Linked DNA regions of Notamacropus eugenii. The protein of the gene in region 2 interacts with the protein of the main gene of each other region in a pairwise test. Links are inferred from orthologs where the notes say so. Each region holds a gene or a part of one and is shown on either strand. Other genes may lie near its edges.

The links.
Region 1: the proteins of CCNDBP1 (region 2) and C3H22orf23 interact in binary tests that used the Homo sapiens proteins (3 or more experiments, as listed by UniProt). The two-hybrid records come from large-scale screens. The link is inferred for Notamacropus eugenii from reciprocal best matches to the Homo sapiens genes CCNDBP1 and C22orf23.
Region 3: the proteins of CCNDBP1 (region 2) and IMP3 interact in binary tests that used the Homo sapiens proteins (3 or more experiments, as listed by UniProt). The two-hybrid records come from large-scale screens. The link is inferred for Notamacropus eugenii from reciprocal best matches to the Homo sapiens genes CCNDBP1 and IMP3.
Region 4: the proteins of CCNDBP1 (region 2) and myelin P2 protein interact in binary tests that used the Homo sapiens proteins (3 or more experiments, as listed by UniProt). The two-hybrid records come from large-scale screens. The link is inferred for Notamacropus eugenii from reciprocal best matches to the Homo sapiens genes CCNDBP1 and PMP2.

Annotation. Positions count from the first base shown.
Region 1 is NC_092874.1:295,435,371-295,444,053, forward strand, and holds the start of C3H22orf23 (UPF0193 protein EVG1), read right to left. Parts: upstream 3,168-8,683; 5' UTR 3,118-3,167; coding exon 3,058-3,117; exon of another isoform or gene 2,832-3,057; coding exon of another isoform or gene 2,781-2,831; intron 2,223-2,780; coding exon 2,114-2,222; intron 2,016-2,113; coding exon 1,953-2,015; intron 239-1,952; coding exon 62-238; intron 1-61. Other genes in the region: POLR2F (DNA-directed RNA polymerases I, II, and III subunit RPABC2), read left to right, coding at 3,876-3,895, 4,558-4,627, 5,304-5,434.
Region 2 is NC_092878.1:29,699,531-29,707,734, forward strand, and holds the start of CCNDBP1 (cyclin-D1-binding protein 1), read left to right. Parts: upstream 1-4,982; coding exon 4,983-5,331; coding exon of another isoform or gene 5,332-5,338; intron 5,339-5,447; coding exon 5,448-5,507; intron 5,508-5,711; coding exon 5,712-5,791; intron 5,792-7,039; coding exon 7,040-7,121; intron 7,122-7,415; coding exon 7,416-7,512; intron 7,513-7,679; coding exon 7,680-7,753; intron 7,754-8,204. Other genes in the region: TMEM62 (transmembrane protein 62), read left to right, coding at 4,240-4,572. UniProt on the Homo sapiens protein: May negatively regulate cell cycle progression. May act at least in part via inhibition of the cyclin-D1/CDK4 complex, thereby preventing phosphorylation of RB1 and blocking E2F-dependent transcription.
Region 3 is NC_092872.1:240,231,457-240,237,919, forward strand, and holds IMP3 (U3 small nucleolar ribonucleoprotein protein IMP3), read left to right. Parts: upstream 1-4,805; 5' UTR 4,806-4,968; coding exon 4,969-5,523; 3' UTR 5,524-5,677; downstream 5,678-6,463. UniProt on the Homo sapiens protein: Component of the 60-80S U3 small nucleolar ribonucleoprotein (U3 snoRNP). Required for the early cleavages during pre-18S ribosomal RNA processing. Part of the small subunit (SSU) processome, first precursor of the small eukaryotic ribosomal subunit.
Region 4 is NC_092875.1:304,999,893-305,008,527, forward strand, and holds the start of myelin P2 protein, read right to left. Parts: upstream 3,343-8,635; 5' UTR 3,245-3,342; coding exon 3,172-3,244; intron 220-3,171; coding exon 47-219; intron 1-46.

The DNA.
Region 1 (8,683 bases), on a different chromosome or scaffold from region 2:
TAGGGCAGAGGTTGGCAGTGCCTCATCTCCTTATTCTGAAGCCCAGGGCTTCAAGACTTACGACAAGGTCTTGGCTTGAACTGGTCTCGGGTGTAGGCCTCAGTGGCCTGGCAGACTTCAGCAGGGCGGAGATGGGGCCTTGGGGCCAAGATGGGAGGCAGACACAGGCTGTTGATTCGTTTGGGCATTGGCTTCTGGCTAGATACTGGGTTGCAGTAAGAGGGCAGCGCTTCGCCTCCTGGGGAGAGACCAGAACAGAAAGAAGTCCAAGACCCAGGTACCAGGAGTCCTGCCTATGGCCAGCCACTTCCTAGCCTACTCCCCTGAGCCTCAGTTTCCCTATCTGTTCAACAGAGATGATTGACTTCCAGTGGCAGATATGCACCAGTGTAAAGTCCTGTCCAGGTCAGCAGAGGAGATGAGGCTGGGGGCAGGAGGAGGATGTGGAGGAAGGGCCAGGGAGCCCAAGGAATGATCTCTACTAAGGGTTTAGGAAGGGAGAGCATCCAGATGGAAAGATATGCAAGAATGCCCCCTGCCCCGGGGCCTTTGCTATTCCCCAGAGCCTCCAGCTAGCAGGCAGCTCCAAGACCCAAGTCATGGGCTTTTGCAGGGAGTCCCTGGAAGTAACACCCTTCTGCCTTGTAGAGTTCATTAAACTATGCAACTCCTTAATGCATTTAAACTGATGTCCATCCTGTTTAACTGTGTCCCTCTACTAGTTTGGAAGCTCCCAGAGGGCAGAGCTATGTAGACGTCTTTATATCCTGCTTCTAGCACCTAGGTTGGGAGCTTCTTTGAGCATGCCCTCCATAACTGTGGGCTGGAAGAATCAGGGACCCAGTGTCACTGAGCTTGAGCAGAGGGAAGGGGGGGATTCACAGATACCAAAGACAGACATCTATCATGACAAGACCATGAAGGAGCCTGGCCATCAAAGTCTGGTAAGGAAGGATGTCAGAAGTAGCAACTTTGGAGACAGAGGACCCCAACTCAGATCCTGGCTTCTTACTGGGGCTGGAATGGATGCTCCCAGAGGTCCCAACTCTACATCTGTAATCCTGGTAGTGGCACAGGACAGGAAGCAAGGCCTAGTGGGGTAGTTTGGGATAGTAACAACTGACATCCTGACTGGGTGACCCTCTCTGTGATTTCAACAGCTCCCTAAGGTTGCAGAGGAAGTAGAGGGAGTGTCCTCACCTGAGAAGTCTATCAAAGAAATTACAGGTCCAGTCCCTGTAAGGCTAGGGCCTTAGGAATGGTCCAGGTAATTGGTACCAATTGGTAAAGAGGAAGAAGAGAGACCAAGGCTACAGCCTAGGCTGGAAAAATTTTACTGAAAAGGTGGGATATGGATAGTCTTAAATTGGATAAGGGAAGTGGTACAAAGACTTGGGAGGTGAAGAGGAATGTCCATGGAATGTAAGGGGAGCCTATTTGGCTGTGGAGGAGAATTCCCCAGAGGGGGGCAGTGGGAAAAAAGTTTGGACAGTCAGGTTCAGGCCAGATTGTGGAGAACTGTCTTGGAATGGAATGTGTCCCACAGAATTCCAGAGTTGGATGACTTCTGAGGTCCAGTCCCATCTTCTCTCCCTTTTCAAGTTAACCCTCCTGCAACATTCAACAGAGGACCCATCTCCCATTTTACTGAAAAAGTTAAGGCCAACAGAAGTGAGCACCCTCAAGATTGCTCTCCCAAATGTCTCAGTTCAACTAGGCCAGTGATTTTCATGGAAGGAAGATGGAATCTGCACCATCCTCCCCAAAAGACCAAGACTAGTTTATAGATATGGAAAATGAGCCATACACAGATGACACATTACATCCCAAAGGAATCTCTAGACACTATGGGAGAAGTGCCTAATCAGCTATACAGCCATTACTGTGCCATTCTAGTTAAGGCGTGAGGAGAGTGTTGAAAGGGCAGGAGGAGGATCAAGGCTTCAAATTACTTTTCATCGAATCCATGAGCTGTCGCTGCTGGAAGCTGGTGAGTTTGGACTCCTCCATCATCACTGCAAAACAAGCAGGTGATATAAGAGCCACTGGGCTTCTAGCCCTCCTGGGGCCCTGTCCTGATCAGCCCTTCCTTCAGGGCTGTCCCTCCACTGACCTTTCAGCAGCTGACAGGTTTCTGGGGTGTAGCTGGATTGCCGTGAGTGCCAGAAGCCAGTACCTTTGGCCACAGCTCCTGATTTCCCCTTTGCTGCCATGGCAAAACCCTACAGGTGGAAAAGAAAGGTTTTTAGGACTAGCCTTCCCAGAATGTTGAGAGCTGAAGGGGATCTCTTCTAAGAAACAGGCTTGGGGAGAAGGATGACTTGTTTAAAATGAGCCATTGAGCAGTGAAGAGATTTCAGGTCTGGTGATGGGTGGAAGCAGGTCTTGGGAGAGGGCAATGCCATTAGCAGGGTCATTCTACGGACGGATGTGTGGTTCTGCTCAGCCTCGGAGGGCAGTCTGACAAACAGGAGTCATGGGTGCAGATTTAGGCTTGACGTCTAACAATTAGAGCTATTCAAAAAGGAGAAGGGTTCCCTCTCGCTGGAAATAGAAGGCTGGAGGATCGGGTGGGAGGAGACCATGGTGTCATTGGTCTAGAATGGGAAGAAGTCTCCCCCAAACGTGGACTTCTTGAAGACCTCCAGGGACAGGGAGCTCGCTACTTCCTAGGGCAGAAATCGTCCTGAGCAGGACACAGGGATGGGGGATTCCTAGAGGGGGGCCGGGGGGTGGCCTCGGTGGTCAGGAGGTCCTTGCAACTCTGGGCTTCTTCTGACCCCGAGCAGTCCAGCCTCAGCTCTACCCAGGCCAGGCCTGATGGGAATCATCTCCTGCCCTCCGGGGACGCCCGAGCGGGGGGCTCAGGCTGCACCGGCGGCGACGAGGAGAGGCGATCGCTGCGGCCGGCCCTCGGCGACACAAAGGGCGGAACTCGCCCCCTGTGGTGCTGGGACGATCGCGACAGGCCGCCCTTGTCGGGGAGGTGCCACGTGACAAGCCCCCCGCGGCCACCCGCCCTGGGCTTCCCCTCTCCCCCAGGGACGGGCTCCGGACCGCTCCGCTCTCCCCAACGGGTCCATGGGGCTCCGAGCAGCGGCCGCCTCCGGCTACCATGGCAACGGCTGCGAAGGCCCCGCCCTCAGCCCGGTCCGAGCTTCCCGGGCCCCTGGTCCCGCCTACGCTGCCATGGCAACCGCCCAGGCTCTAGGCTCCCCTCCCTCGCTTCAGGCTCCGCCCCTTCACGAACATTCTGGGCCCCGCCCCTGGCATCTCCTATGCATGGCCTAGCCATCTCCCCTCAAGCCCCGCCCCTTCCCCCAGCGCTTCCGTATCCGCCTCCGGCTCCTCTAGGCCCCGCCTCCAGGTCCTCTGTTCTGGCTCTCCCTCCCCTCCTGGTTCGGCTATGTCACTGCACCGGATCGGTCTCGGTCTCCTCTTCCCAAGAGCTCCCCACTCTGCTTCCGTCTCCGCCTCTGGCTACCGGGGGAACCGCCGCGCGCCCTGCTCGGGGCTATCCGGCTCCTCTTTGCCATGACAACGGCAGGCCCACGCCCCTTTTTGGCGTCAGGCTCCACCCCCTGCCCTCTCTCTGCCCTTCTTCGCCCCAAGAGCTCGAGGTTCCGCCCCTTGGCCTATTACCGGAACTTGCTCATATGCTAAGGTCACCGCGCAGGCGCAGGGAATTCTGGTAGGGCCGGTCCGGAAGTGGGTGCTGGAAGTCGTGAGTTTGGTCTCAGTGGCGCGAGCCCGAGCAGTGCAGGAGGCCAGACCGGGTGGCTTGGGCTCGTCGGGTTCCGTGAAGAAGGTTCTGCTGGGAGACAGCTCTTCCTGGCCAAGGCGGCCACTGGGCCCGAGCCCAAGGCTCCGCAGGCATGTCTGACAACGAGGACAAGTGAGTGCGGAGAAGGGGCAGATAGAGCGGCCCGAGGATGGGGGGAGGGGAGGGGGATGGAAGGAGGGGGATGGAAGGGAGACTGAGAAATGGGGGCTCAGCATTGGAAGGTAGGATGAAAAGAGGTGCAATCACAGAGGCATTATGGCCTAGGGTCAGAAAAGCCTGGCTTCGCGTCTTGTCCCGGATCCTGACCCCTAGATGATCTTGGGCAGGTCTCCCCCCGCCCCCCCACCCGCATTAGCACTGGCCTGTGCCCCTCCGATGTTGGACTCCGTGGCTTCTGGTGTGAGGCCTCTTTTGTCTCCTCTTGTAGAATGAGGGCAAGGACCGTCTGGTCTCTGTCTCTGTCTTCTTAGGTGCCTGGCGCACACACCCTGGCAGGTACTGGAGGATAGTGATGTGCACTTGGGGTATGAGTCTAGCACCTTGAGGATCCTGAAGCCACATGGGGACAGATAAGGCCCGGGGGGGGGGGGGGGGGGGGGAGGGGGCGGTCACTTCATCCAGCTCCCTCTTTTTACAGTGGGAGCTTCTCCACCTCCAAATGCAGCCTTCTTTTCCACTGCCCCAGCAGATCCAGGCTAGAATTGGGGGAGATGGGGGAGGGTATTTGGCCCTCTCCGAGCACCCAGGTTCACTGGTGCTTTCTTCCTGTACAGTTACGATGGTGATGACTTTGATGACGTGGAGGAAGATGAGGGTCTAGATGACTTGGAGAATCCTGAGGAGGTCTGTACTTCTCCCATGGCTCTTACTGCCACAGCACAACTGAGGCCAGGGCTGGGTGCCAGTCACCTGGGTGCCAATCACCTGGGTGCAGAGCATAGTATCGTTCTAGTTCATGGCTCTTCTTCTCACCTGGAACCCTGGAACCACAAAGGTCACTGAGCATAGAGTGGAACAGCCCCCCCCCCCCCCCCCCCGCCTCCCCCCCCCCACTGTAAACCAGCAGCCCTGTGTGCAGACAAGCCAGCTGCAGGCTTTTCATGCCATCCTTTGTCCTTGGCTGCTGGGGCTCTCAGTCCCTTCTTGCAGGTGAAGCGTCGTGGAAGGGACAGATCTAGGACAGAGTTACTTTGGAAGACCAGCCTCTTCCCTGGTTTCGGGATGTGGCAGCTGGCCGGGGGTTTCACGACAAGAAGTACATTTCCATTTGACCAGTCTTGTGGCCATTCAGTAAAATTTTGGTCTGGAAGCCAAAATCTTTTTAAGCTTTTCTTCCTCCAAACTTGTCACCTCTGTGGTTTATTCCACTTGGAAAATGGACTGAGCCCTCTGTTGGGGGTATTCGAAGTCTTACTTCCCCATGATCTCTGGTTGAAGTTGCCAGGAGCCTCTAGGTCTGAGCCTTTGACCTTTTACACCCACAAGGAAATTTCCCACTCTCCTCTCCCTCTTTTCCTAGGAGGGCCAGGAGAATGTGGAGATCCTTCCCTCTGGGGAACGGCAGCAGGCAAACCAGAAAAGGATCACCACCCCTTACATGACCAAGTACGAGCGAGCCCGGGTCCTGGGCACCCGGGCCCTGCAGATTGCGTAAGTAGAAATCCCCCTTTCCCTACTCATCCCCCACCCCACTCCCACCCCATTGACATCTCAGTTCAACTGACATTAAGAGTACAGGAGCTAAAATGAGTTTGAGAGTCAGGAAGCCTTGGCTTCAAATGCATCCCTCGTGGCCCTTGTCCAGCCCTGTTGCTTCTAGCTATGCTGTCCTCTCGATGACAACTGAGCTGTTAATGGGTTGCAATCTGCCTTTGTCAGAGGACTTTCTCCACTAAGGAGATCTTAGGAAATTGACACAGAGTTGAAGTCCAAAGTTTTGTTGTTGTTTAGTTGTTTCAGTCATGTCTGACTCTTCATGACTCCATTTGGGGTTTTCTTAGCAAAGGTACTGGAGCGGTTTGTCATTTCCTTCTCCAGTTCATTTGACAGATGAGAAAACTGAGGCAGATAGGAAAGTGACTTGCCCAGGGTCACACAGCTAGTAAGTGTCTAAGGTTGTACTCAGCCCTATGTTCTGTCCACTGCACCACCAACTGCCAAAGTCACCTAGAAGTCAAAGGCCCAGGGCTCACTTTGACTTGAAGTAAGTCATTTCATTTCTCTGGTCTCAGCTTCCTCATATGTTAAATGAGACTGGACAAGGTGACCTGAAAGGCCCCTCCCAGCTCTGAGTCTTTGATTCAGGGACATGTGCCTTCATGTCTCTAGTGCCCAGCATAGTGCTTCCACCTGCTAGGCCTGCAGCCTTGAGGCCATGTACTAGGCATTTAACAAATGGTTATTGAGTGAAGGGTTAATGAATGAAAAAAGCCTATGGTCTAAGTGAAACAAGTACACAGAGAACTGGTATAAATGATATTAGTGCATAGTAGAGATGCAAGGAAAAACCAGGAGGATAAATTGGTTGAGGAAGAGATGGCTTTCCCCTGGAAGGTTTCATTGGGGCCTGGAAGGAAGGTACTTCCTAAGGCAGGGGCGAGATGAGAATGAGGAACAAAGGGAAGTCTGTCTTTGTCAGAACCTAAGTGGTAGGAATGAATGAACGAATCAGTGAGTGAGGCATTTCCTAAGCTCTTCCTTTGCACAAATCACTGCTAAGCACCAGAGACACAGAATAGTCCCCCGTGCCCTCCAGGAGTTCACATCTTTGTGGAGGAAACAACATGGAGGGAAGGTTTCAGCTGCCTGTCAGATGGACGCTTCCCATCGGCGGCAGCAGCAGCAGAGTAGATGCCAAGCCTGTTTTTTTGTGTCATTGCCTCTGACAAAATCATCAGTTATTGATGTTGAATGCTTTGACAGCCTCAGACAGAAAAGAACTGTCTTTTCTGGGTGTTACGGAAGTGCCTGGGCATTGTTCTTGGGCACGTTCTGTTTGGCCTTTCTGTCAACCGTTTGGATGAAGGTGTGATTGTCAGATGTGTAGGTGACGTGGTTCTGGGAGGGACGACAGACATGTGGCTGAGTCTAACAAGATCAGATGGAGAGAAATTAGTTTTAACCCCCCCGTGTGGGTTCAAAATTGTCAGCTGAGGACGTTCAGACAAGAAGGGTGTGACTAGACCACATCACTTGAAAATATCGGGGGGCAGGAATGCTAGTAATTTCATGAGCATTAACAGTGTGATGATGTGGCTGCCAGAAGAGCCCAGAGGATTTGAGGATCTATCGAGGGAGGCGTAGCAGTCAGCCCAGGGGAGCAGATGGGGAGCAGATGAGCAGCCTCTGCCCAGGCCTGGTCCCATCTACAGGGTTGGTTTTGTGCTGAGGCTACGTTTTAGGAAGAATCTGACATCCTAGTGCTTCTTCAGCAGGTGCAGGACGGTCTGGTTGAAGGAACAGGGGCAAGGAAAACTTGGCGTAGGGGGAGGTATGTGATGCCTGTCCTCTGGTATCTGAAGAACCGATAGGGAGGAGGGGCCAGCTTCTCTGGGCTCAGAGGGCAGAAGGAAGAGTAAAAGAGATAGAGAGGCAGATTTTGACTTGATAAAATGATGCAACAGTGTGTGGGAGGTAGAGCACTGGAGGGTTCTCTGTGGGGTTTTGAACTGCTCCTGTGACTTTTGGGGCCCTTTAGACCTCTGTCAAATCAAGGGTCGGATGAGGGTCAGACTTCAGGGAACCTCTGGGGCCAGTTGCTCCATTTACGGAGGTGGTTCATCCCAAAGACTTGGCCAAGGTGACATGGGTAGTAATTGTTAGGCAGGATTCACACCCAAGTCCTCTGACTCATGAGCCCATAAAGCTGCATTTGTGCTTTCTGTGGAGGGAGAATTTTCTGTAGCAGTTTGATCCATCCCCAATAGAGGAGCCTGCCTTGGAGATACCGGGGTCTCCATTATAGGAGAATGCAGGTAGAGGCTCAGGTTACACTGGAAGACCTGCATTTCCCTCCATCTCTGAGATTGTCTGACATGCATGTGAAAGTAGGACTCTGAGCTGGGAAGGGTGGCATAGGCTTTGAGGCCTTCCTGTTAGTCAGGACTCTTCCTTTAAGGCCATTCTTGTGGACTTTCTAGGCTCCTTGAAGCCAGGACTTCAGTCCTAGATGCCTCTGTGTCCTGTCAGGCATCCAGCACGGGGCCCTTCTCAGGGAGAGTTCAAAAAGAGATCAATTGATCGATTGATGTTCTTGGCCATGGACTGAGCAAACTCAGTTTAAACTGACATTTAACTTGGGAATCAAAGTAGAAACAGGAGAATTATCCATGGGTTTGCTCCTTACCCCTTATTGAGGTTAACGGCTGCCTTGGAAGGGGTTTGGGCTGGTGGGCATGGGCTGCCGGCTCCAGCCTCGCCACCTGGCGGTCACTGCCAAGTAGGACAAATCAGCTCCTTCTCTAGCCTCGTGGTGTGCCACCTGGTGGTCACTGCCCTATGCTGCAGGCACTGTTAGGCCTTGGAGCTAGAAGTGAGCTTAGAGATCATTTCATTGTACCCTGTTGCAGAGTATGTACGTTGCCAAGTACGAGGGTTATTTTTTTTAAATAAAAAAATTCACAGTTGTAGGAAATGTTATCCTATAGGCCCTGTAGTGCCTCTAAATGAATTTTTATTTCGTGGATCCCCAGGTTCAAGACCTTTTTAAATAGTCTTCAGAATATACTGTGCACTTGTTTGTTAAGACTAAATCACCTGCTGAGAGGCTACTGGCACTGATTTTTAGAAATCCTACGTCTGGTGGAAATGAAGGCTTCAACTCTAGATCCCAGACTGAAAGGACAGAAACAGTTTTGCTTTTTTCCTGTTGAACGTTTCTCATATAAAAGCTTCATCACA
Region 2 (8,204 bases):
GAACTCTGGTCTTCCTAAAAGACCCCCATTGGTGGTAGCTGGAAAAGATGATATTATGTGGGCATAGGAGTGTGTTTGTATGTGTGTGTGTATGTATGTGTGTGTGTGTGTGCGTGTGTGTGTAAGCGTGTGTGTGTGTGTGTGTGTAAGCAAAATCTTTGTTCTTTTACTGTTGAGGGGAGTTGGTAGAATCTTACAATACCAATTCACATAGTTTAATTTTAGACTGCAAGTGAAATTATGGTCATAATAGTTGACACACATAGTTCTTTAAAGTTTTCATTAAAAAGTGTTTAAATGTTTATTGATATCTTTTGTTTTTATCATCTTCATTTCTGAATATTTCCTTTTCTTCTCTGCCCAGCCAGTGGCTTTACCTAGAAACAAAAAATAAGAGGAAAAGGATCATTTTCCCCAAAACTAATTGACATATCAGCTGCTAGCAGTGTATACTCCTCCACTTCCATAAAGAAGGGAGATATATTTTCTCATTTCTTCATGCTTGCTCATTACAATTACAGAGTATTCAGTTTCTTTGTTGTTGTTGATTCCATCTACATTGTTGTAATCCAATGTTTCTCGAAGTATGTGAATTTTGTTGTGAATTTGTTGTTGTAAATTTTGCTAGGTGTGCCCCAGAATTATTGATGTTATGATATTACAGATAGTGGATAAAGAAAATAAATTATCTTCTTTAACATAAATTTTACTTATCACACACAGGAATATTCACAAAAGCAAAAAAAACACCTCATCTATTACACAAGTGTACTAATCTCAAAACATGTCAGATTTTGAACTCACAAAGAGCTCGGCAAACATGGGGTGTTCTTGAAGAGAAACTATCTGTGTACAGGTCTCCCACCCTTCCTGTAGCACTGCCACCACGCAATTCTGTGTGTTCTGAGATTCCTCCTGGTCAAACAATCCTGCCCACCTCTACCCCCCCTCCTTGCTGGCCAAGAAAAACAACTTTGCCATGAGCACTGGGGCAAGGGAAAGGAGGATGAGCATTCATTGTGCATCTGCTATGTGCCAGGCACTATGCTGTGATCTTCACAAATATGTCATTTGATCCTTGCAACAACCCTTTGAGTTAGGTGGTATTATAATACCCATTTTATAGTTGAGGAAGCCAAGGCAGACAGAAGTTAAGTGACCTGCCCAGGGTCACATAGCTAGTTAAGTGCCTGAGGTAGGATCTGAACTCAGGTCTTCTGACAGTACACTTTAATTTTCTCTAAATTGCTTCCTTATCTAGGCCAGTAGCACTACCAATGAAAAGCAGTTGCTACATATTCACGATCTTTTTTTAAGGGAAAAAAAGTTAAGAAATAAAATTTACTGATATTTTAAAATTGAAAAGTTACAAAAGTTAAATTTTATTTGGAAATCTGTGGGATATAAGTTACATTGGGATAATAATGGTTGTGCTAAAAACCTGCACCTATCTATGATATATAATTATTTTTACTATTATTTAAAATAATATCTTATTACTATCTTTTGTTTTTTAAAAATTTTGGATGTATTCTACCATACAAGTACAAAATACACCTCTCTTATAACAAGGGGAAATAGTTGAGGCCAAAAAAAAAAACTAAACCCCAAAGGCCAAATACAAAAACTCAAACCCAGTACAGGGACTACCTCCAACAATGTATGCAAATTTTCTGTTCTTCCTTTAAAGTACTCCTGCAGAGGGAGGTATGTTTCACTATCTGTTCTCTGGGACTATTATTGACTTTTTAGTTACTCAAAGTTTGGCTTCCTTTTAGAAGCACTATTATTATTAAAGAAGTTATGCATCTATAAAGAAAGTCTTTGAAGATAAATACTCTCCAGGGAGGAAAGGATTCACCTCAGATAGGGAATGACTGGTTCCTTAGTCCCATTATCTCTTCCTCTTTTCTGTATTCTCTTTATGGGGCATATTGAACCAGAAAAGGCATTTTAGTGGTTCTTAGATAATAGGAGCCACTAGATATTTGAACCTTAAAGGTAATAATGAAGGTTGCTGAAGCAAACACCAACCAACACATAAAGCTTATACAGAAATATTATCCAGAAAGCAGACGGAACTCTTCCTCCTCTTAGTTTCTGTACTTTCCTTTTCCATGCCTAAGCTCATCCATTACCTAAGAATGAAGAGAAAATAAAAACATTTAGATGTACAAATGTTACCTTAATGTGACCCAGGGGACTGAGAGACCAAGGGGCATTACAGTGAAATGGAAAATTTAAGTCACAACGCTATTTGGAGATAGATGTGTGTACATGGGAAATATGTAAAGTAATTCATTACATTTTTACTCGTTAAAGTATTATTTCATTGAATGACATCAAAAACAAGCCTAGAAGTTCTCAGGCCTGAAGCTATCCTTGACCCTTTTTTCTTCCTCAGTTCACATAGCCAGTCAGTTGCTTTTCAGTCATATCTGACTCTTTGTGACCCCCATTTGGGGTTTTCTTTTTTTGTTGTTTGTTTGTTTATTAATTTTTAGTTTTCAACATTCATTTCCACATGATTTTGAGTTCCAAATTTTCTCTCAATCTCTTCCCTCCCCCCACCTCAAATGCTATGCATTCTGATTACCCCTTCCCCCAGTCTGCCCTCCCTTTTATCATCCCCCTTCCTGTCGACTTTCCAGCTGGTCTTGGTCTGGAGATTTGTTTTTCTCTGTCATTTTGTGGGTTCCAAAGCTCTAGAATTTGTTTAAAGTCATTTTTTTTAAAACAGGTATTTGGAGGGCTTTGTAGGAATAGTTCAAGCAAGTCCCTGCTTTTACTCCGCCATCTTGGCTTCATCCCTCCATCTGGGGTTTTCTTGGCAAAGATACTGGAGTAGTTTGCCATTTCCTTTTCCAGCTCATTTGACAGATAAGGAAACTGAGGCAAACAAGTCTAAGTGACTTGTCACACAGCTAATAAGTGTCTGAGCCCAGATTTGACCGCAGGAAGATGAGTCTTCCTGAATCCATGCCTGGTGCCACTGTACCACCTAGTTGCCCCAATCAGTTAAATCTTATTTCATAAATCCATCTATTTCTGTCTACTCATACAATCTGTACCCATATTACCTCTTAGACTAGTAAAAGTAGTCTCTAATTATTCTTCCTGCCTCATTCCACCCCACCCCCATCTCTTCTACAATCCAACCTCTACATACAGCTGCCATATTGATATTCATAGAACAGATTAGATCATATTTTCCTGCCTCCCTCTAGTTAATAAAGTCTTCATCTTTAGCCTGGCATTTAAAATCCTCCACAATCTGACTCCCACCTTTTTTCCATCTTATTTCATATTTCATATTACTCCCCTTAAGTATTTTCTGTTCTGGTGAAATTGGCCTTCTATACCAGAGGTGGGAAACCAGTGGCCTTGAGGCCAGATTCTGTTTTCAAAGGTCCGCACTCGAGGACCTAGAGGGCCACATGTGGCTTTGAGGCCACAGGTTCCCTACTCCTGCTACACATAACATTCTATCTCCTAACTGAGCTCTTGCATAACTTATAATAGCTGACATTTTCATAGTAAATGGCATCTATCCTCTCATTTGACCCTCATAACAACCTTGCGTGAGAGGTTCTGTTTACTATCCACATTTTACAAATGAGAAAACTAGAGCTAAGAGGGGTTAAGTGGATTGCTCAGGGTCCGAAATGGTGCCTATCTGAGGAGGGATTTAAACCCTTGGGGTCCACCACTACCTTCAAGGCCACGTGGCCTGGCCTCCCTTTCACCTCCACCTTGTACAGTCCCTACCTGCCTCCCTGGTGCCCTCTCCTAAATGAGGTCTCTCCCCTTGGCAAACTCCTGGAGGGCAAGAATGCTGCCTCCCTATGCATGTCCAACCTGGCATGGTGCCGGGCACGTGGTGGGCACGTAACCTCTCAGTCCCAGGGCACGTTCCCTGCTGCTGTCAGAATGAAGATCCTGCGGGTTTGGTTGCCTTGGTGAGAATTCAGATGATGAACGTGTGATGATGAAAACAGAATTTGGTGTGAAAGGATTTTCTAGTTCACAGAGAAAAGCAGTTTTCTTATTGGCGAAGTGACCAACCCTGATCCTCTCTGCTGACGGAGCGCTCGGGCCTGGTGAGTGTCTGGGCCGGCACCAGGCCTGCGGCACGTGCGGGGCAGCCCGTCCAGTCCTCGGTGACACTCCCGGGAGATAAGCCGGACTCTGCCCGGGGCCGTTCGCCAGACCGCTGGTAATCCTTGTTTCCTTTTCCAGATCTTTACAGTGATCATACCCCTCTCCGCCTACCTGTGCTGGACGCTGCTGCTGCGCTGCCAGGGCCACACCTTCTCCACTCACCTGCGGGGCAGATACCTCAAGGCCGTGCCCGGCCACGCGCTCGCGGGGCTCTTCTACCTCTGCCACCTGGGCTGCTGCGTCCTGCTCTGGAAGGCCTACGGCACCACGGCGCTCGTCTTCTCCCCCACGTACGGCTGGCTGGCGCTGCTGGCCCCCATCCTCGTTCGTCTGGCCTGGACCCTGAGCCCCAGGGAGCTCAGAGCCTTCGCCGTGGAGCTGCGAAGCCACCAGGGCCCCGACAGGCAGTGACCCAAAGGCCGCCGCGAGCGGCCGAGCGTGGGCCTGCCCGGCCGCGGCCCTCCGGAGGCCGACCGGGCGGCGGGTCCCGCTGCGGCTGGGGCGGCCGGCGGGCTGGTTCCCTCAGAGCGAGTCTCCAAACGTGGCCCCGATTAATGCTGTGCTTGCTGATTCTGCTGCTTACCCCATGGAAGCAAAGCCATGAACTGAACTGTGGAATGGAAATGCCGCACCGGGAGGGCGCCTTCCGGGGGAGGCCGGGAGCGGGATCGGGGGTGCGGGGCTCGGACCCGAGGCCCTTCCGGCCGCGTCGGGCCCACCCCGGCGCCCGCCCCACGTGGCTTGTAGATGGTTTAATTGAACTTCCGGTTTTCTAGGCTCTCCGCCTCCACTGGAGGGACTGTTTAAAACTAATCAAATAAATGAATAAGCTGTTTGCGGTCCAGAGCTCTATCTCGGTCGAGGGGCGGAGACAAGGGGGAGGGAGAACACCCATTGGTCACCGGGCACCTCAGACACGCCCACCGTCCGGTAGCGGGAGGCGGAGCCGGCTCCTCAGTCTGTTGCCGGAAGCGGGCAGAGAGCGCCGGAAGTTGAGGTCTAGGGCTTCCGTTCCGGAAGTTGCAGGCGGTTTACGGGAGCGCCGACTGAGCGGCTGCTGGTGCTGTGAAGCTCGGCGCGATGGATCTCGGGGCGGCGGGACCGAGCCCGGAGGAGCCCGTGGCGCAGCTGCGGAGGCTCATCGGGGTGCTGCGCTCCTTACTGCCGCGGGTGCGGGGTGAGGGCCTGGGCTGCGGCGGGAGGGGCCCGGGGCGGGGGCCGGGGCCGGGGCCGGAGTCCGGGCCCCTTCTTTCCCTTCTCTCACGAGCCGCCCCGTCCCTCCGCAGACGGCGAGGCCCGGAAGACCGCGGAGGCGTTCGATGCGCACAGATTTTGGGACCAGCTCGGTGAGTGAGGCCCGCCTCTGGCGTTTGGGAGGGTCCGCAGCTCCCTCCTGGGCGCCGGGACACCGCGGCCCGGGAGACGGGAGGGCAACCGGAGCCGGGGGCGGCGGCCCGGGAGGGTGGGGATATGGGCCGCGGCCCAGCCCGGACCCGTGCCCCTTCTCGGCGCCCGCCGCCGCCTCCCCCATCGAGCCTTTCCTCCCCCAGGCCAGAGGGCCTTGGCCGTGTCCCAGGAAGCCACGAAGCTGAGCCTGGCCTTCGCGAGACCGCCCCTGCCTTCCCCCGAGGTGGGTTTGCCCCGGGCCCGTGGGCCGCCCCTTTTCTCTTCCCCTGCTTTTGTCTAGAACCAAAGGCAGCTGAGCCCCCAGGTTTCTACCGAGCCAGGTACCCCAGGTGGGGTAAGGTTATCCGCAAGCTTCCCCTGCTGTTCGTTTCCATGAAAGGAAGTCTGTGCATAGACTGTAGTCTATAAGTATGTATGTATGCATATACATATACACACGTACACATGGACACACACATCAAGATTCGATATATCTGTTTTTTTCCACTTTCACCTCACCTGCAGTGATGAACTTGTCCAAGTCTGCCCCTTTCATGCCAGCAGTAAGTTGAAATGATGGATAGGAAAGTGCCTGAGTTCCCTGGATAAAAAGCAGACCATAAATACAGGATAATGATAGTGGGGTTTTTCCCCCCAAAAATTTCCTCTTTCTAAAATTTTTATAGCGTACTTGGAAAATCCTAGAGACATCATGAATTAACAGTGTAACATCATTTTATGTAGATATCTATATAGCAAATATGGATATTCATTTCAGTGTTTTTCTTCACTCCAGGGTGAAAAGTAAAAGTAGGATTTAGTTTCCAGTCGATTTTAATGCTACGTCTCCATATAGTTTACAGTGTTATGTGTGCGTGCCTGTTCTCTAATCATAATTTGTTTGGATGTATAAGCTTCTAGAAGTCTGGAACGTTTTTAACTTAAATCCCTTTATTTATAGGAACTTAACAAAATAGACTCGAAAATTGTGTTCTGAAATCACAACGTGTTAAGCATATGGGGAAGAGGAGAAAGAAATGTGTTTTAGTCTGATATTTTTTTATTGCTTAATATGAACTGAGTGCTAAAGTGAAAGAATTATAGCACTGAATTAATTTTGTGCGTATAGAATTAAGAGCAGGAGATCACTGAAAGACTCACTGTAGGAAAATAGACGTGAGGAGTATTAGATCTCTTCTAGTAACCCTCTGGTTTAAGTTGGGATTCCCCAAAAGTAGGCTGTCCAAAATTTTGGTGTGTGTGATTCAGAGTAGGTTCTCAGCATCCTGAAACAGTGTTAACTCTTTCTCTTTCATACAATAGATATTTTGTTGACTGGGGTGTATGGGTGTTCAGTATCCAAACCCTGGATAGTATTGAGTAGGTGATCAGTAAATGCTTGATAGATAATGATGAAGTTCTCTAGGGCAGTTGCTTTTCATCATGTCACTCTTAATTTCCTCATTTTGGAATGGATCTGTGTTTTTTGTAGGACTGCAGGAAACTCTGTGAAAGTATCCAGAATGCTGTGTTGGCAGAGGTTTCTACATACTACTGGCTTCCCAAAGATCAAGGTAACCTGCTTTGCACACGTAGATACTTAAGTATTCAAGATATAATTTTTGAATGAGTGAGTGAAAGCTCTAGCAGGATTCTTGTGCCGGATCTCTTTTGGGCAGAACACTATTACCTTTCTAGTCAGAAAACTACAAATTAATGGGATTGATGAGCAGTAGGAAGGACAAGGCAGGTCATTTGTGAAGTGTAGGTACTGCCTGCTACCCTGCAGCGTATAGACTATCTGCTCAAAGAAAACGATTTCTCCCTGAAAGACCTCTAGGATGCTTAAAATTTGGCTTTGGTTGCAGGCATCACATTACGAAAAATGGTTCGAGATACCATTGTGGATGTAGTGGAGGGGATGGCCCAGCTTGCAGAGGTGATCGTCAGAGCTCGACCTCAATGGTAATGACCTAGTTCTAGTTGTTACTTTGTGGGACTCATAGTGCCTGGGAAGGAAGGAAAACCCCTGTGAATTTTCTTTTGGGCATCAGGATGGGTCAGTCAGGAAGGATACTTTTTAGGAGATAGGGATTTGAGTTGTTGATATCCTCATTGTTTTTGCTCTTTAGCATATCACACGAGTATCTAATATCAACTGGCAGTATCTGGGAAACATGTGACCAGGTGTCTCACCTCCCAAAAGGTGAGTGAGGTAGTGGGAGGTGTGGTGATGATTGTATTCAGCTATATGAGAGGGAATGGGTGCTTTTCACATCTCACTTCCAGTTTTGTAGCATTCATAATGTAATCCAGATTTAACAAGTAAGAGACTTTTAAAAAATTAGCTGTCACTGCTGAAAGTTAGAAAAAGGAGATTTGATGTTACTGTCTTCTCAATTATTATTCCTTTCTCAATGCCCCAAATTACCCTCTCCCTTCTGTGCAAATTCCATTAGGGAATTTTAATATTTGTTGAATATTTGGGGTACATGTACCTAGTTTTACTCATAGTGTTAGGAACACTGCTGAAATAGTCATTAGATAGAGCCAGGTGTTTCTGATGGGACACTCTTGGAATAAGTGATTTCCAAATGGACCCTGATTTAAGCATTTTAGTTCTTCTTGGGACTTTATTTTTATACTGAAAAGGGAGG
Region 3 (6,463 bases), on a different chromosome or scaffold from region 2:
ATCTAAATAACCCCAGGTCTCCAGCCCAGACCAGGATTTCTATCACATCCCACTGTCCAACAAAGTCATCTTGTCATCTACCTGCCATCTTATCACCTCTCCACACTGCATCTAGACAGGATCTACCAAAACAAAACTAACTACCCAAGGTCCTGAGGGACTTAATTCACTCAGCTCTGGAACTCCAGCCACTGAGCAAGCTGTCTGGATTGTCGAGTGAGCTCCCACTCACCCATCTAGCCCACTGTCACCAGCTGGGCCCAGACCAGCAGACCAGACAATGTTTCGTATCACATTCTGTAGGTGCTCCAGGCTTGTGGCTGTCCACCAGCCTACTGCTACCTTATGACCCCCACCCCCTTTTCATTTCTTCCCAGATTGCCATTATTCCTAGAAAAGACATGTCAACTGACTGCCCTCTGGATACGCTCAGCTTCCTGGGTGGCCCACAGGTACTTCTTTCCCTACCAGTCCCATATTTCTATTGTTTTCCCACCCATTAGAATCTAAACTCTCTGAGGGCAGAGACTATTTTACTTTGTATTTGTTTCTCTAGAGCTTAGCATAATACCTGGCACTTTGTAAGCATTTAATAAATGCTTTTTCATTCACTCAGTCAGATAATGAGAGAGTACATTCCAGGTATGGGAAACAGCCTGTGCAAAGACATGGAGGCAGGAGATGAAATACCAAATTCAAGTAACAGCAAATAAGTCAGTTTGGTTAGAATGCAGAATATGCAAAGGGGAGCAATGTACAACACACCTGGGAAGGCAGCTGAAGCCAGATTGTGAAGGGCATTAAATGCCAGGCTGAGGAATTTGTAGTTTATTCTTGAGGCAATAAGGAGCCACAGAAGGTTTCTGAGCAGGGGAGTGGCACGGTCAAATTTGTGCTTTAGAAAGATTTAGAAAGAAATATGGGATGGGTGGATTAGAAAGGGGAGAGACTAGAACCTGGAGGTCTATTTAAGAGATTGTTGTAGTAGACCAGGTATATGAGGACCTAAATTCAATTCAGTTCAATTCAACAAGGATTTATTAAGGCTTACTGAGGGGCAGCTAGGGGGCACAGTGGATAGAGTGCCAGCCCTGGAATTAAGAAGATTCATCTTCATAAATTCAAACTGGTCTCAGATATACTCCAGCTGTGTGACCCTGGACAAGTCACTTAACCCTATTTGCCTCGGTTTCCTCATCTGTAAAATGAGTTGAAGAAGGAAATGGTCAATCACTCCAGTATCTCTGCCAAGAAAACTCCAAATGGGATCACAGAGTCAGACAGAACTGAAAAAACGACTGAAAAATGTGCTGAACCAAGGTGGTGGCTCATGTAAGTGGAGAGAAGGGAATGAACAGAAAAGGTGTTGAGGTACAACCATCTTCCCATTTCAGACCCCAATTTCTTACTTTGTAAAATGAGAAAGTTTATCTGAATCATCTTCAAGGTCTCTTCCAGTTCTGTCCTTCTTTAGGTCTTCCCAGTGGTTAGAACACTGCACCTGGAATCAGTCAGGAAGACCTGAACGCAAATCTGTGTGCCCCTGGCTAAGTCAATGAAAGGCTCTGTGCCTCAGTTTCTCCATCTATAAAATGGGGATAAAAGTTGTTGTGAGGATAAAATGAGACAATACTTACAAAGAGCTCTGCAAACCTTAAACTGCTATACAAATGCCAGCTGTTATTATTAATATATTTATTACTGAAGATTCTACATATCTCCCAGAAATATATTTTCCTATTATGATCAGGCACATGGGGGAAGTGGGTATAATGGTGAAGGAGGGAACATTTGTCTTCAGTACTGGCTTCCCTTGCTCCCCCTCCCTCTACAGGTGCCCAAATCCCTCAGATACAAACACCGGCTCCTTCCAGGTTGCACCAGAACGATCCCCCACTAAGAAGCCAATGCTGGCCTTGTCCTGAGGGGTTCTACAACGCTACGGGGCACTTTCACCAAAGACCGGAGCTCTTTTCTGCCCCTCAGCTTCTTCATGTGATTCCCTCCCCCTTCTTGCCATGAGAAGCTCCAGCCATAGACAGTCACACAGATAACTTTCCTCTTCTTTGCTCAACTCCAGTTATCCCCAATACCTGGAATATTCACATCCTCCCCTCCCCCAGCTCCCACACCCCTGGTGAATTTCAGCTCATCCTTTCAAGACCAACATCCCACTTCCTACAGGAAACCTCCCCAATGACCATTACTAATAATGACCTTCCCCCTCACCAGACTTCACAAAATACTTTGCACCCTTTTTTATGTTCTTATCATGTATTATTTTGGGCTCTCCTTATACCTATTTGTACACAACATTTACCTTAATAATAATGCTGGATCTTCGTATGTAATGCTTTAAATTTTAGACATAGTAACTCATTTGGTTCTTACAACAATCCTGTAAGTGCTTACTTGGTAGAAGTATTATTAGTACCTTTTTCCTGATAAGGAAGCTGAGACTCAGATTTCTCTAGGGTCACCTGATTGAACAGTTGAACCCAGGTCTCTCCATGCTCCATGTCCTTCCATCACACCATATACTGCTTCTGACTCCCTAATTACTAAACTACTGATCAAAAAGTGAATCCTTTCTAATTAATTCAACTAACTTTGTTATTACTAGATCCTACACTATGTAATGTGTTTACTAAGCTTAGGTTATCTTTTCCCTTCTCTCCCTCCCCACCCAGCACTGCTACCAATGCCAAGCCTTCAATAAGTATTTGTTGACTTAAATAGAACTTTCCCTACTCTGCTAACTTTTGGTCATTTTTCTCCTTTTTGTTTTTATGGATTGCATCATTGGGTGGAGAGAGAAACTGCTGGGGAATGTGCTCCGGGAGGAGAAGCGAAGTGGGAGGCAGGATAGTGAGACAAGAGATAAGGGGGTGTGTGTGTGTGTGTGTGTGTGTGTGTGTGTGTGTGTGTGTGTGTGTGTGTGTGTGTGTGTGTGTGTGTGTATGTGTGTGTGTGTGTGTGTGTGTGTGTGTATATGTGTGTGTGTGTGTGTGTGTGTGTGTGTGTGCTGGACAACATGATGCGTTTTAGAAATACCTTTAGAAACACTGTATTCCTTATTGGATTTGTGGTCTCATCAGTGTAGGTACTCCTTCCAAGGAGGCAGATTGTGTGCCTCAGTTTCTTCATCTAAAAAATGAAGAGGAGGGAGAAGAACAGAGATAAGACATCATGAAATTTATAATCTAGTAGTAAGGGGTTCGAGGCAGCTGGGTGGCTCAGTGCGTTGCATCTAGAGTCAGAAAGACCCGAGTTCAATTGTAACCTTAGACAACTTACTAGCTGTGTGACGCTGGGCAAGACACTTAACCTCTGTCTGCCTTAATCCACTGGAGAAGGAAAGGGACAACCATTCCAATAACCTTGCCAAGAATCAGCTTGCTATGGTCCCCAAGACCATAAACCACAGTAAACCACAGTTACAAGGTTAGTTCTACTAATTAGAAATGATTCACTCTCTGATTGGTAGCTGAGTTTCCTCTAGGTCAGTGGCTTTCAGTGTCCTCCGTGGTACCTTGAGGGTCCCAGAGACCGTTCCAGGGGGTCCTCAAGGTCAAAATAATTTTCATAATAAAACTTACACGTTTTCATTTCTAATACAGTAAATATCAATAGGGATAGCCCACATAAACAAATATCCTCAATATTTTTTAAGATTATAAAAGGATCTTGAGACCAAAAGTCTGACAAGTGGGCTTTTACCATTTCATAGACGGCAGCGCTCTACTTTCCCGGCACCACCAGCCTAGCCCTCTTCTGACCCCCTCCCACCCAGTATGGGCAACGTGAGCTCCTGGCTAGAGGAAAGGAAGCCAGGGGTTCACACCCTGCCCCTTGATATTCACTAGCCACGTGACCAGGAGGACTTCATTTGGTAGAGGGAAGATTGTAATGCTTGCCTCAGCAGGAGTACAGTGAGATTCGGAGATCATCTAAATCAAGTCCTCTGCAAACATTAAAGTGCCGCATACACACCGCAGTCCATCAGGGAGCACTGATAAAGCGCTTGCCACCGCGCTGGACCCTGGAGGTGCAGGAACAAAATCTGCCAGAGGAGACAAGGACATGGGCGCAGGATAGGGGCAAAATGACTAGTGTTGCGTACAGACACACCCAAACGTTACGGTTATTTCTATACTGTATATGTGTGTTGATTCAGTTGCTTTAGAGTCTGACCCTCGTTGGGGTTTTCGCGGCCAAGATACCCGAGAGGTTTTGTCCTTTCCTTCTCCAGCTCATGGTACAGATGAGGAAATTGGGGCAATCAGGGGGAAGTGATTTGGCCAGGGTCACACAGCTAGTATGTGTTTGCAGCAGGATTTGAACTCAGGACCTCCTGACGCCCCGCCTCCCCTCCCCCCCATCCTCGGAGCCACCTAGCCGCCCGGTATATACGCACATATGTACATTAGGCACGGTATTAAAAACATACACTAAACGGGAGCTGTCTTTGGTCTCTTTGTACCCCCAGGGCTCGGCACGATGCCTGCACACAGTAGGCGTTCAATCAGTGCTCTTTTGACTTGGTTGCTTAAAGTTAAAAAAAAAAAAAACCGAAGGGGACGAAGGGAACCAAAGCCAAGGCCGGGAGATAGCCCCTGGGCCGAGCCAAGCATCTTAAACCTCTCCAAAGGAGCCCAAGTCGCAGGCGCGTTAAGGGACCAGGAAGCAGGCTGTTTGGGTGGAAGCCAAAGGCCTGCCGAGCCTGACTTTCTCTGGCCCAATCAGAGCCGGGGGCGTGTCCCACGCTGCCCGTCGGCCAACGGCCAGGAGGGAGCCAGCCGCGGCCCCGCCTCCTGGCCTGACTCGGAAGTGCTTTAGCTTCTGCCCAGAGCCGGCGGGTGTGCAGTTCTGCGTCTCTGCAGCTCTCGCTCGGTCGCTCTCTCTCTCTCTCTCTCTCGCTCCTACGCAGCACCACCAGCCGCCGCAGCAGCACCAGCCGCCGCCATCATGGTGCGCAAGCTCAAGTTCCACGAGCAGAAGCTCCTGAAGAAGGTGGACTTCCTGAACTGGGAGGCCACCGACCACAACCTGCACGAGCTGCGCGTGCTGCGGCGCTACCGCGTGCAGCGGCGCGAGGATTACGCGCGCTACAACCGGCTGAGCCGCGCCGTGCGCGACATGGCGCGCCGCCTGCGCGACCTGCCCGAGCGAGACCCCTTCCGCGAGCGCGCCACGGCCGCGCTGCTGGGCAAGCTGTACGCCATGGGGCTCGTGCCCACGCAGTCGTCGCTGGAGCTCTGCGATAACGTCACGGCGTCGAGCTTCTGCCGCCGCCGCCTGCCCGTCGTGCTGGTCAAGCTGCGCATGGCGCAGCACCTGCGCGCCGCCGTCGCCTTCGTGGAGCAGGGCCACGTGCGCGTGGGCCCGCACGTGGTCACCGACCCCGCCTGCCTGGTCACGCGCGCCATGGAGGACTTCATCACCTGGGTGGACTCGTCCAAGATCAAGCGGCACGTGCTCAACTACAGCAACGAGCGCGACGACTTCGACCTGGACGCGTAGGCGCGGGTCCGGTCCGGTCCGATCCGAGACGTTGTGCGAGGCCCCTGCGTTTTCAGAAGCGGCGCCTCCCGAAGAGCAGCAGCAGTAGCAGCAGCAGCACTTTTTTCCCCACTTATTTAATAAACGGGCTAAGTTTGCCCTTGTTCTTGAGTGACCCCAGTGCATTCTGTTATTGAGTCCTTTCAATCCAATCGCGTCTCCTCCCCAACCCCACCGGGGTTTCCCTTAGCCAAGATATGGTAGTGGTTTGCCATTCCCTTCTCCTGCTCAGTTTTACAGAGGAGAAAACTGAGGCAAACAAGGTTCAATGACTTGCCCAGGGTCACATGGCTAGCAAGTATCAGGGCCTGAATTGGAACTCAGGTCCTCCTGACTCCAGTCCTGGCACTGACGTGAGTGGGTACCAAGTCTGTTCCCTCAGCGCCAAGTGTGCCTTACTTTTGAACAGCTATGTGAGGGGGAGAGGTTTTAAGGAAGGAGAATAGCTAGCTTTGATAATATTTTAAACGTGTAATTATGTTACTATTTAATTTGGTAGTAGGCTTCATTTAAGTCAGCTCATTGAAACCTTCTGCTTGATCTCTAATGAGAAGAAAGGCCAGATTTCTTGGGGGGAGGTGGTTTTCCCACCTTGGAATCCCAATTTTAAAAAATGGGTCTCAACTGTGGTTTTATTTACACTGGGGAGAGATGGGTTGGACTGAGTAAACAGCTGTGGGAAATTTTGTCAGGATCACACAATGAGCCTGTTTGCTTTGGCCTCAACGCCAACCCACCCTTCCTTGATCCATCCATTTACAAATCTCTTCTGCAGGACAACAAATTTTATCAATGGGGTTCTCTGCAGGACTTCCTGTGGACAGGAAGGGAACAAGAAATACTTGATTTCCTTGAATCACATGCCATCCTACAATAAATAATTAGAGGCAGGCTCGGACTT
Region 4 (8,635 bases), on a different chromosome or scaffold from region 2:
TCCTTCAGTAGATTAGGGACACGGTAGAACAAAGTTAACCTCTCACCTTTGTTTTCCTGTTATCAGCTGTGGTTTCTTCGAATTCATGGCCCAGCTTAAAAGAGATTTCTGTATTTTTAAAGGCACTCTCAGTCCGGATGGTTATAATATCACCCTTCATGCTGATGATCACAGTGGGTTTGGCCAAATTTCCCAATTTTCTGGTGGCTAATCCCACCCCTAAAAATCAGACAGGGTTAGAATCATACTGTCAGAAAGAATACTTGCTCTTTCAAAAGAGAAGGCTTTTAATCACATGCTCTACTCTTTTGTGAATGTTTCCATGGTGTCACAGGTATAGATTGGACATAAATCATAACATTATCAAGGAAGAAATCTTCCTGTCAATATTTTATCTCCTGAAGGGAAACTATTTTTGTGGGTTTTTTTCTGTCGCTTCAGTGAAATCCAATTTTCAGGATTGAATTGAGCTTCCAGAAACCTTGTATACGAAGAGAAGACCACTTGGCTTCAGAACCCTTACAGATAAAAATAAATACAATTTGCTAGAATAAATAAGTAGCATTTTAACTTTTAAACAATTCTAGGCTCTGTTCACGTTAATTACTGTTCTTCACTGCACTGAGACAGCTTTATACCCTCTGTGGGAATTAGAAATGCCCAAAGAGAGAAAAAATGTGTGATAAACCCAGGTAAAGAAACCAGTGCTAAACGCTATTGCTTGGATTATATCATTAACTATTTCACTGATTCAGCAACCATTTAGTGTCTACTGTGTACAAAGCACTGACTCTAATAAAAAATATAGGAATCAAAAGCACTGAGGTACATGGAGATGGATAAAGTTAACCAAATTCAAAAGAATGTCATATGGAAGAGAAGTGGAGTGCTAGATTGGATATCAGGCAGATGTGAGTTTAAATCCATGAACATGGACGTGAGATGCTCTGAACCTCAGTTCTTTTATGTTTAAAATGAGGATAATAATACATATATCACCCACCTACTATGATTATTACAAAGATCAAGTGCAATAATGTATACAAGTGCTTTGTAAACCTTAAAGAACCATATAAATATAATTTATTATTATTTTTACTGATATTAATTAGTATGTTTCATGATATCTAGGGTTACATGAAAGGACAATCAAGAAATTTTAAAAAACTCATTACTAGGGTATAAAAATCTAAGATTACAAAATGATCTTAATGAACAACAAAGGTAGGAAAAACCAGAATGACATTCAGAAGGGGCAGAGACAAGAACTATTTGTCTGGAGGAAGAGATGGCTTAATATAGGTTAGGGACCCAGATGTTAGAGCCAGAGAGGATTTGAGACATCTTCTTTTCTAACCCTTTCATTTCACTGGTGAGGAAATTGAGACTCAGGGCCACTCAGTAACCAGAGCAGAACACACAGCTAATCTTAGAAGCTGTTAGAACTGATGAATTTTTTTTTCAAGAGAGAGATTATAATAATAGAATAGAAGACCAAGGACTGAATTAGGGGAGAATCATACAGTTAAGGGATAAGAAGAGGAAGAAGACTGAAAGAAGATACAGTCAGAAAGGCAAGAAAACCAGAGTTAGAACCTTTTTTTTTGATTATTTCATATATTTGTTTAATATCTCTTGTTTTCTAAAAATGAAGGAAGGAAGGAAAACAGGAGGGAAGGAAGGAAGGAAGGAAGAAAAATAGGAAAGGTAAAAAAAAAGTATTAATTGCACACTTACTTCTTGACAAACATCTTGCTAAGTGATTCAAAGATAAAAGCAAAGGTAGCCCCTGAAGACAACACATGAGGGAATCAGGGTCAGAGTAGGATACTTTGGTCCTTTATAAAGTTACTGGGATAGTTAGTAGGGATATTAGAGCTATGTCTTACAAAAGTTCACTATAAGATTTAGTAAAGTAAATCTTGATTTCACATTGATTTCTATTATAAAATTGAAGATTCATGGCCACAGAAAAGTTTATGAAGAAGTGTTTCAGAGGTGGCCCATGCTGTGTCAAGATGGCCATTTTTGAATTCAAGCTACACTATACTCACTGGAGTTAACAGCTGACCTCTATGTTGAATAATGTTTTTAAGCACCCTGAGACTCCTATAGCTACCATTCATGACCTTGTCATCATTGCTCATAATCTACCTGTATCAACATTTTCCCCAGACCAGTAGATTGGGTACCCTCAAGACTTACATAATAAAGCTTTACATAGTAAAGCAAAAAAATATCTTTCAGTATTTGTAAATTTATACTGAAGTGAACAGTGACCAATAGATTTTCATCTATGAAGCAGAGAGAGACTAAATGATCCTTAGAGTCCCTTTCAGCTGTAAATTTATGATCCTATGAAGCAACTGGATTTGAGATTAGAAGTTAAAAAAAACCTTCCTAGAGGAAGTGTGTTAGCCAATGCATAATGAATAAAAACCTGATTTTTACTTATTGTTTTATCCCAAGTGAGAAATCTACACAGGTCAGATAGTCTGTCATTGATTAGAGTCAATGAAGACCGATTCACTGCTCCTGTAGCATTGTCTTCTCCTATACCCTCATCTCCTATGTCCTTACTTCCTCTTACCTCTTTCTTCTCCCACTCTGGAATTAGCGGACCAAAGGAAGCCTCAGTTTGCTCAGACAATGATGTGGAATTCAGTGGTGGGGACAAAGAGAAGTAGTCTCTGTTAGGGACTGGCAAGAATCAAGCAAAATTCCCCTGTGCAAACAGTTTCATTACTGAATAAGAAGGAGTTGACAAAAATCAAATCTAATTCAGTGAACATGCTATGCCTAGATAAATATCAGACTTCAATTTGGGACATTCTATATTCTGTTCCATTTTTTCTCTTCTGGAGTATCTTGGTCCCTAGAAATCCAAGTGATAAATGAGAATAGAAGATAAGTACATTGACAAAGCTTCTAAAAGTCTCCTCTTCATTTTTAGAATTTTGAAATAAAAGAAAAAAGAACCACATCAAGAAACCATTATTACAATAATTTATATTTTCCACTTCATCATCAGCCCAACTCCCCCCCGCACACACACACACACACACACACACACACACACACACACACATCCAACTTCTCTCAGAGAATAAGCAGGTGGATGATTTTCTCCTCAAGCAGAAGTTTTTTTGTTTTTTTTAAATTTTTCCTCACCTAGAGCTTTCATGTAATCCTCAAAGTTTTCACTGGAGACCAGTTTCCAGGTGCCCACAAATCTGTTACACATGATGTTGGACCTGCTGGGCACTAAATGGTGACCTTAGCCAAAGAAAGGCAGTCACAGTCCCCTGTGAGAGGCAGGATGGCATGAACTGCAGCAGCTTCAATGGCATCTTTTCAAAGATGCTCTGGACATGTGACTACTACCAGCATCCAATGGGGAAAGGCAACGTCAGGGCCAAGTGATGAAAGGCCTCCACTTCATAGCATTGCTCATTCATTCATTTGGCACAAAAGAGAAGCCCACCCACAATCTCATTTTTCTCCAGAAATGGGTTTGCTTTAATTTTTTTCAAATAAAAAAGCCACCTAAGTTCTTTAAAAAAAGGAAATGAAAAGAAAAAACAAAAAGACTTTGGTTGGGCCCACATTTAAATTTTATTATCTGACCCTTAATAGTTTAGAAAAACCATACTATTCCACAAGTCCAGTTCAAGGTCAGGGCATGCAAATATTAGAGAGGGAGAGGATAAGTGAGATTCTCTTTGGAGGCATCCTAAGGACACCAGATGCCAACTCCCCACATTCAAGAATTTGGTACAAAGGAAGAAAGAGAAATCCGAGTCTTTTTACATTATGATAACTCTACCCCTCACCAAAATATGCTGTGGCAGAGAAAGGTTAGGAAGTACTATAAGGATTATTCATTAGGGAAGGAGGGAGTTGTTGACATAACTCACATTTTCTAGGCAGGCAGAGTGGGCGGTAAGTATAATATACCAGCTATGTTCCCATATAGGACAAAGAAACAGGCCTAAGACAAGGTCTAGCTAGCACAAAGATTTTCATTCTCAGGAAAACCAGCGCATTTGATCACATACCTTGCAGCTTCCTACAGAACTTTGCTTCATTTATATTCTCCACAAGCTATTAAATCAGGAGTGAAGGAAAAAAATGGGTAGGCTACTACTAAGTTTCAAGGTGGATAAAGGGGGTTATGGGAGCTCACATCAGATGGCTTCAGTTTCAAATAGGAGTCTGGGTGATTTACCATGAATAGCAGGTGGGAGCAGTGGGTCAAGGGTTTGAGGATGATTATGTTTTCAATAAGTGGGGATAATAATAGTAATGACTAGAATTTATATAACCCTTTAAGGTCTGCAAAGGGTTTACAGAGAGTGTGAACATCATGTGAAAAGAACAGTATGAACAAAAGTGCGAGGGTAAGAGAGTATAAGGTGTGCTTGGAAGGTAAACTCAAAACTTAGAAATAGTATGCTGTAATGGAAAAAGCCCAGTCAAGAGACCTGAGTGCAAATCCTGTAAACTTCCTGGATTTTAGTTAAATCATCAGCAACACAATTATATTCTCCTCGAAGAATTCTAAGTCTTTTATGAACACTTACCTGACTATACCAGGTCTTCGACCTCCTTTCCCAGTTTATAATACCCAAATTCTAATAACATATCCTGCCTCACCTTGGACTGAGAATCACAGTAGACCAGGACTGGAGAGTATTTTTGAGATCATTTACAGATGAGCAAACAGAAACCTGGAGACTTGCCCATAGTCACACAGCTATTGAGTACAGGAGGAAGAAGGGACTAGGAAGCACCTGTTCCCATTCTGTTGCCCGGGTTGCCTGGCACCAAATGGGCCAGCCAGCAGTACCCTCCCATAGAGGCAATTGGGCAACAGACTCTCTTCCTCTCGTGGGATTCAAGCCCAGTTGACTTGACTTCATGTTCAGTGCTCTCTCTCCTGTTACACCATTCAGTCACTAAACTTTAGGTATTAAAAAGTTGGATTTATTCATATTTTACACAACCTCAATCTTCTCTTGGAGAAATAGTTCCTTTTACCTACATTGGAGTACTAAAAATAATTCAGCCCATAAAAGTAATGTTTTACTGTTCTCTCATTTCTGTTCTCTCAACAAAAGTTTCTTCCTATGAAGCTGTTAAACTGTGAAAAACAATGGTCTATTACCTAGTTTATGGTTTTTGACAACGTGCCATCTCTCCTACTGTATTATAATGCTCTTGAGAGCACAAACTTCATCTCCTACATGGCTGCTTGAGTGGAAGGAGAGGAGGGGGAAAGAAAGTGAGCTACTTGTTTCTGGGGGTCTCCAGGTACAGAATAACTAGGATAATAGTTCTAAAGGGGCCATCTTATTCAACTCCTCATTTTACTAACTTGTCAGGAATTTTGTAGACAGGATTCATGATTAGGGTATGAATGGGAGTCAAGGCCCTCAGAGGCCTCTTCCAACTCTAAGGTTCTATGAATGCTTCTTTGTACCACCTCACAGGACACAGGATAGTGCTTTGCAAACATGGCAGTAGGCAGTCAATTCTGTAATTGTTGAAAGAATGAAACAATAAACCAAAGACTGAAATAAACAGTTATTCTTTTATAGTAAATCAAAGAAAAGTTGCTGACTCTCAGCAAAGGCTTCCACAGAGGTTGGTGGTGGTTGGGCCACAGACCCATAGAGGGTCCCCCAGTGTAACACATAAGCTAGTTAGGCTAAACACTTAGAAATCACATTTGCCCCAGAAAGCAGCGCATTTCTCTGAAATGGAGAATACTAACTGAATTTTACAATTAAGACTCTTAGTCATTAAAAAAGACCTTCTAATTGAAATTCTTTACTTGGAATTGTGTTGGCTTCTTAAAAGTGTTTTCAGACAATCATGGATGTTAGATGGAAAGAAAAAGAAATTAAAGAAAGAATTTCAGAAATTCATTTTTCTGTACCAAGAGAATAAAAAGTACTCTTCTTATTTCAGTGTGGGATAGCAGAAAGAGCCAGTCCTGGGATGAGAATAACTTGGATTCAAGTCCTCATTCAGATGTATCTGACTGTCACTTAACCTTTCAATGACTCCATGAAATACAACTTTCTAATAACGTAAGTTGTAGAACAGTTACTGATCTGAATTGACAGAGGAAGTTTCCTCCCTTTGGAGTTCTGTAAATCAATTAAATAATGGTCCAGAAAAAAGAAAAAAAAATCTTTGCAGTCAAGCAGGATCTAAATATTGTATCTGTGCTATGGCCATAACACTTGATTCAGCTGCCAGGATTCCTAACTAAACCTATAATCCCAAGATACTGCCTTCTCTTTATCCTCATAGTCTGAAAGTACCTTTTTTTCTTTAGCGTTCACTTTACGGACTTGGGCTAACCAGTGAGAAGCTGAAGGCATTTTTCCAGTGATTCATAGGAAAATAATAAAGGAACAATCATCTATGGAAACCAACCTTAACCTTGATTCTAATTTCATATGAACCATAATAAATTCCAAAATCTCCTTTGACATGTGACATCATGGGAATTTGCTTACTCTAAAGGATCAAGTGATCTGAATCTGACCATTCTAATAGATTGATAATCTATATCAAGAATCTCAAAGTGAACTTTATAGAGGCTTTGGAGGGTGTGGGGAGGTGGAGAGGAAAAAAGCACCACGTAATCACAGATATTGGTATTGCAAATGTATTCGTGATCTTATTCATATATTTTCCTCCCTGCCATGAGTTCAGATTGCCACTCATCCATACATTCTTATAAGAGGGAGCCGTTGTAACGTATTGGTTGGGGGAGGAGGCGTCAAATGATCAGGTCTACACATCAGGAAAATAACTTTGGCAAGCAGGTAGAGGAAAAACTGAAATGGGGAAGTGGGGAGAGAGCATGGTGATGCTTGAGGCAGGGGACAAATTAGGAGACTATTACAATAGTCTCAGTGTGAGGTGATAAAGGCCTGGATTAGAGCAGTGGCTATGTGAGTAGAGAGAAATGAAAATAATCTGATGCATGTTATCCAAAAATAAACCTCATGATCTGGTAACTGCTTGTATACGTAGAAGGAATGAGAGTGAGTAGTTGAGGATAATAGCCAAGGTTGTGAACCTGAATTAGTGAAACTTTGATCATATTCTTGGCTGTCATGGGGAAGTTTGGAAGAAAGGTAGGTGCAATTTTGGACCAGTTGAATTTTAGATGCTTTTAAGGACATTAGTTGGAAATTCTAGGGCTAGATATAAGGACCTGGGAATCGTCTTCATAGTGATGATAATTAAAATCATGGGAACTGAGACAGTCACCAACTGAGAGAAAAGATAAAGAGTCTAGGACAATCCTTCAGGGACATCTGCAATTAAGAGCACAATATGGAGGAGGAGTCAGGAAAGGAGACTGAAAGAGGCAATTGTTAAATTTTCGGTGTGAGTATTTTATACCTTAGAAATTGGTAAATGGTACAAATGAGAGATTGATTTATTGTTTTGTTGATTGTGACTTAAAGTAATATTAGTGAAAATGTTAATAATGCAGATAAAACTTAAAAGCGTGTGGTCCATACATGTGGACATTCCCCACCCTGCAAAGAGCCTATCATTAAACATTCACCAGAACAACATTACTTTTATGACACTCTTTGCACATATATCAATATTAGTGAATATGCTGGAGACTACTTACACCCACCATGTATTTTCACACACCCTTGTGTGTAGCTTGCATTTTGATTCATTTGAGATTGTGGTGTTTATTATTCACAACTATATAGTAAAAGCCAAAGAATACTGGCATTAAAAATGTGTCTTGGCAACAGGAATTAGCTTGGCATCATTGCTAGTACTACACTAATGCACTGTTGGTGGAACTGTGAATTTGTCTAGCCATTCTGGAAAGCAATCTGGAATTATGTACAAAGTCATTAAGCAGTTGCTTACCCTACTAGGGTACATATCGGTAGGCCTATACCCCTAAAAAGATGAAAGAAAGAAGGAAAGGATTAATGTGTACATAAATAATTATAGCAGCTAAGAATTAGAAACTGAGAGGAATGTCCATCAGTTGGGGAGTAGACAAACAAGTTGTGGTATATGAATGTGATGGAACACTATTGCATTAAAAGAAATAATGAAGGGGTAAGTTTCAGAAAAAGCTGAAAAGACTTGTATGAACTGAGGCAGAGTTAAGGGAATTGAACCAGGGGAAATTTTCTACAATAACAACTCAGTTGTAAAAGCAAACAACTTTCAAAGATTTAGGAACTCTGATTAATACGATGTTTAACCAAGATTCCAAAGGCCTCGTGAACTCACAATGAAACATATCACCTACTTCCTGTCACAGAGACGATAGACTTAGGGTGCAGAATGGGGCATATATTTTTTGGAATATGGCCAATGTGACAATTTGTTTTGTTTGAGTACGCATCTTTGTTATAAGCCCCTACCACCACCACCACTACCACCACCAATGAGAAGAGAATATGGAAGAGAAAGTTGTTTTCTTGTTAAATGAAAAAGAAAGTTTAAGATCTGTAGAGTTTCCTGATTGTGAACCACCTCATTATCCTATCTAGTTCTGGACCCTTTCCTGTCTAATTTATATGTGCTAACATGCTAATTCAATATATTGCCATCCAACTAAGCAATA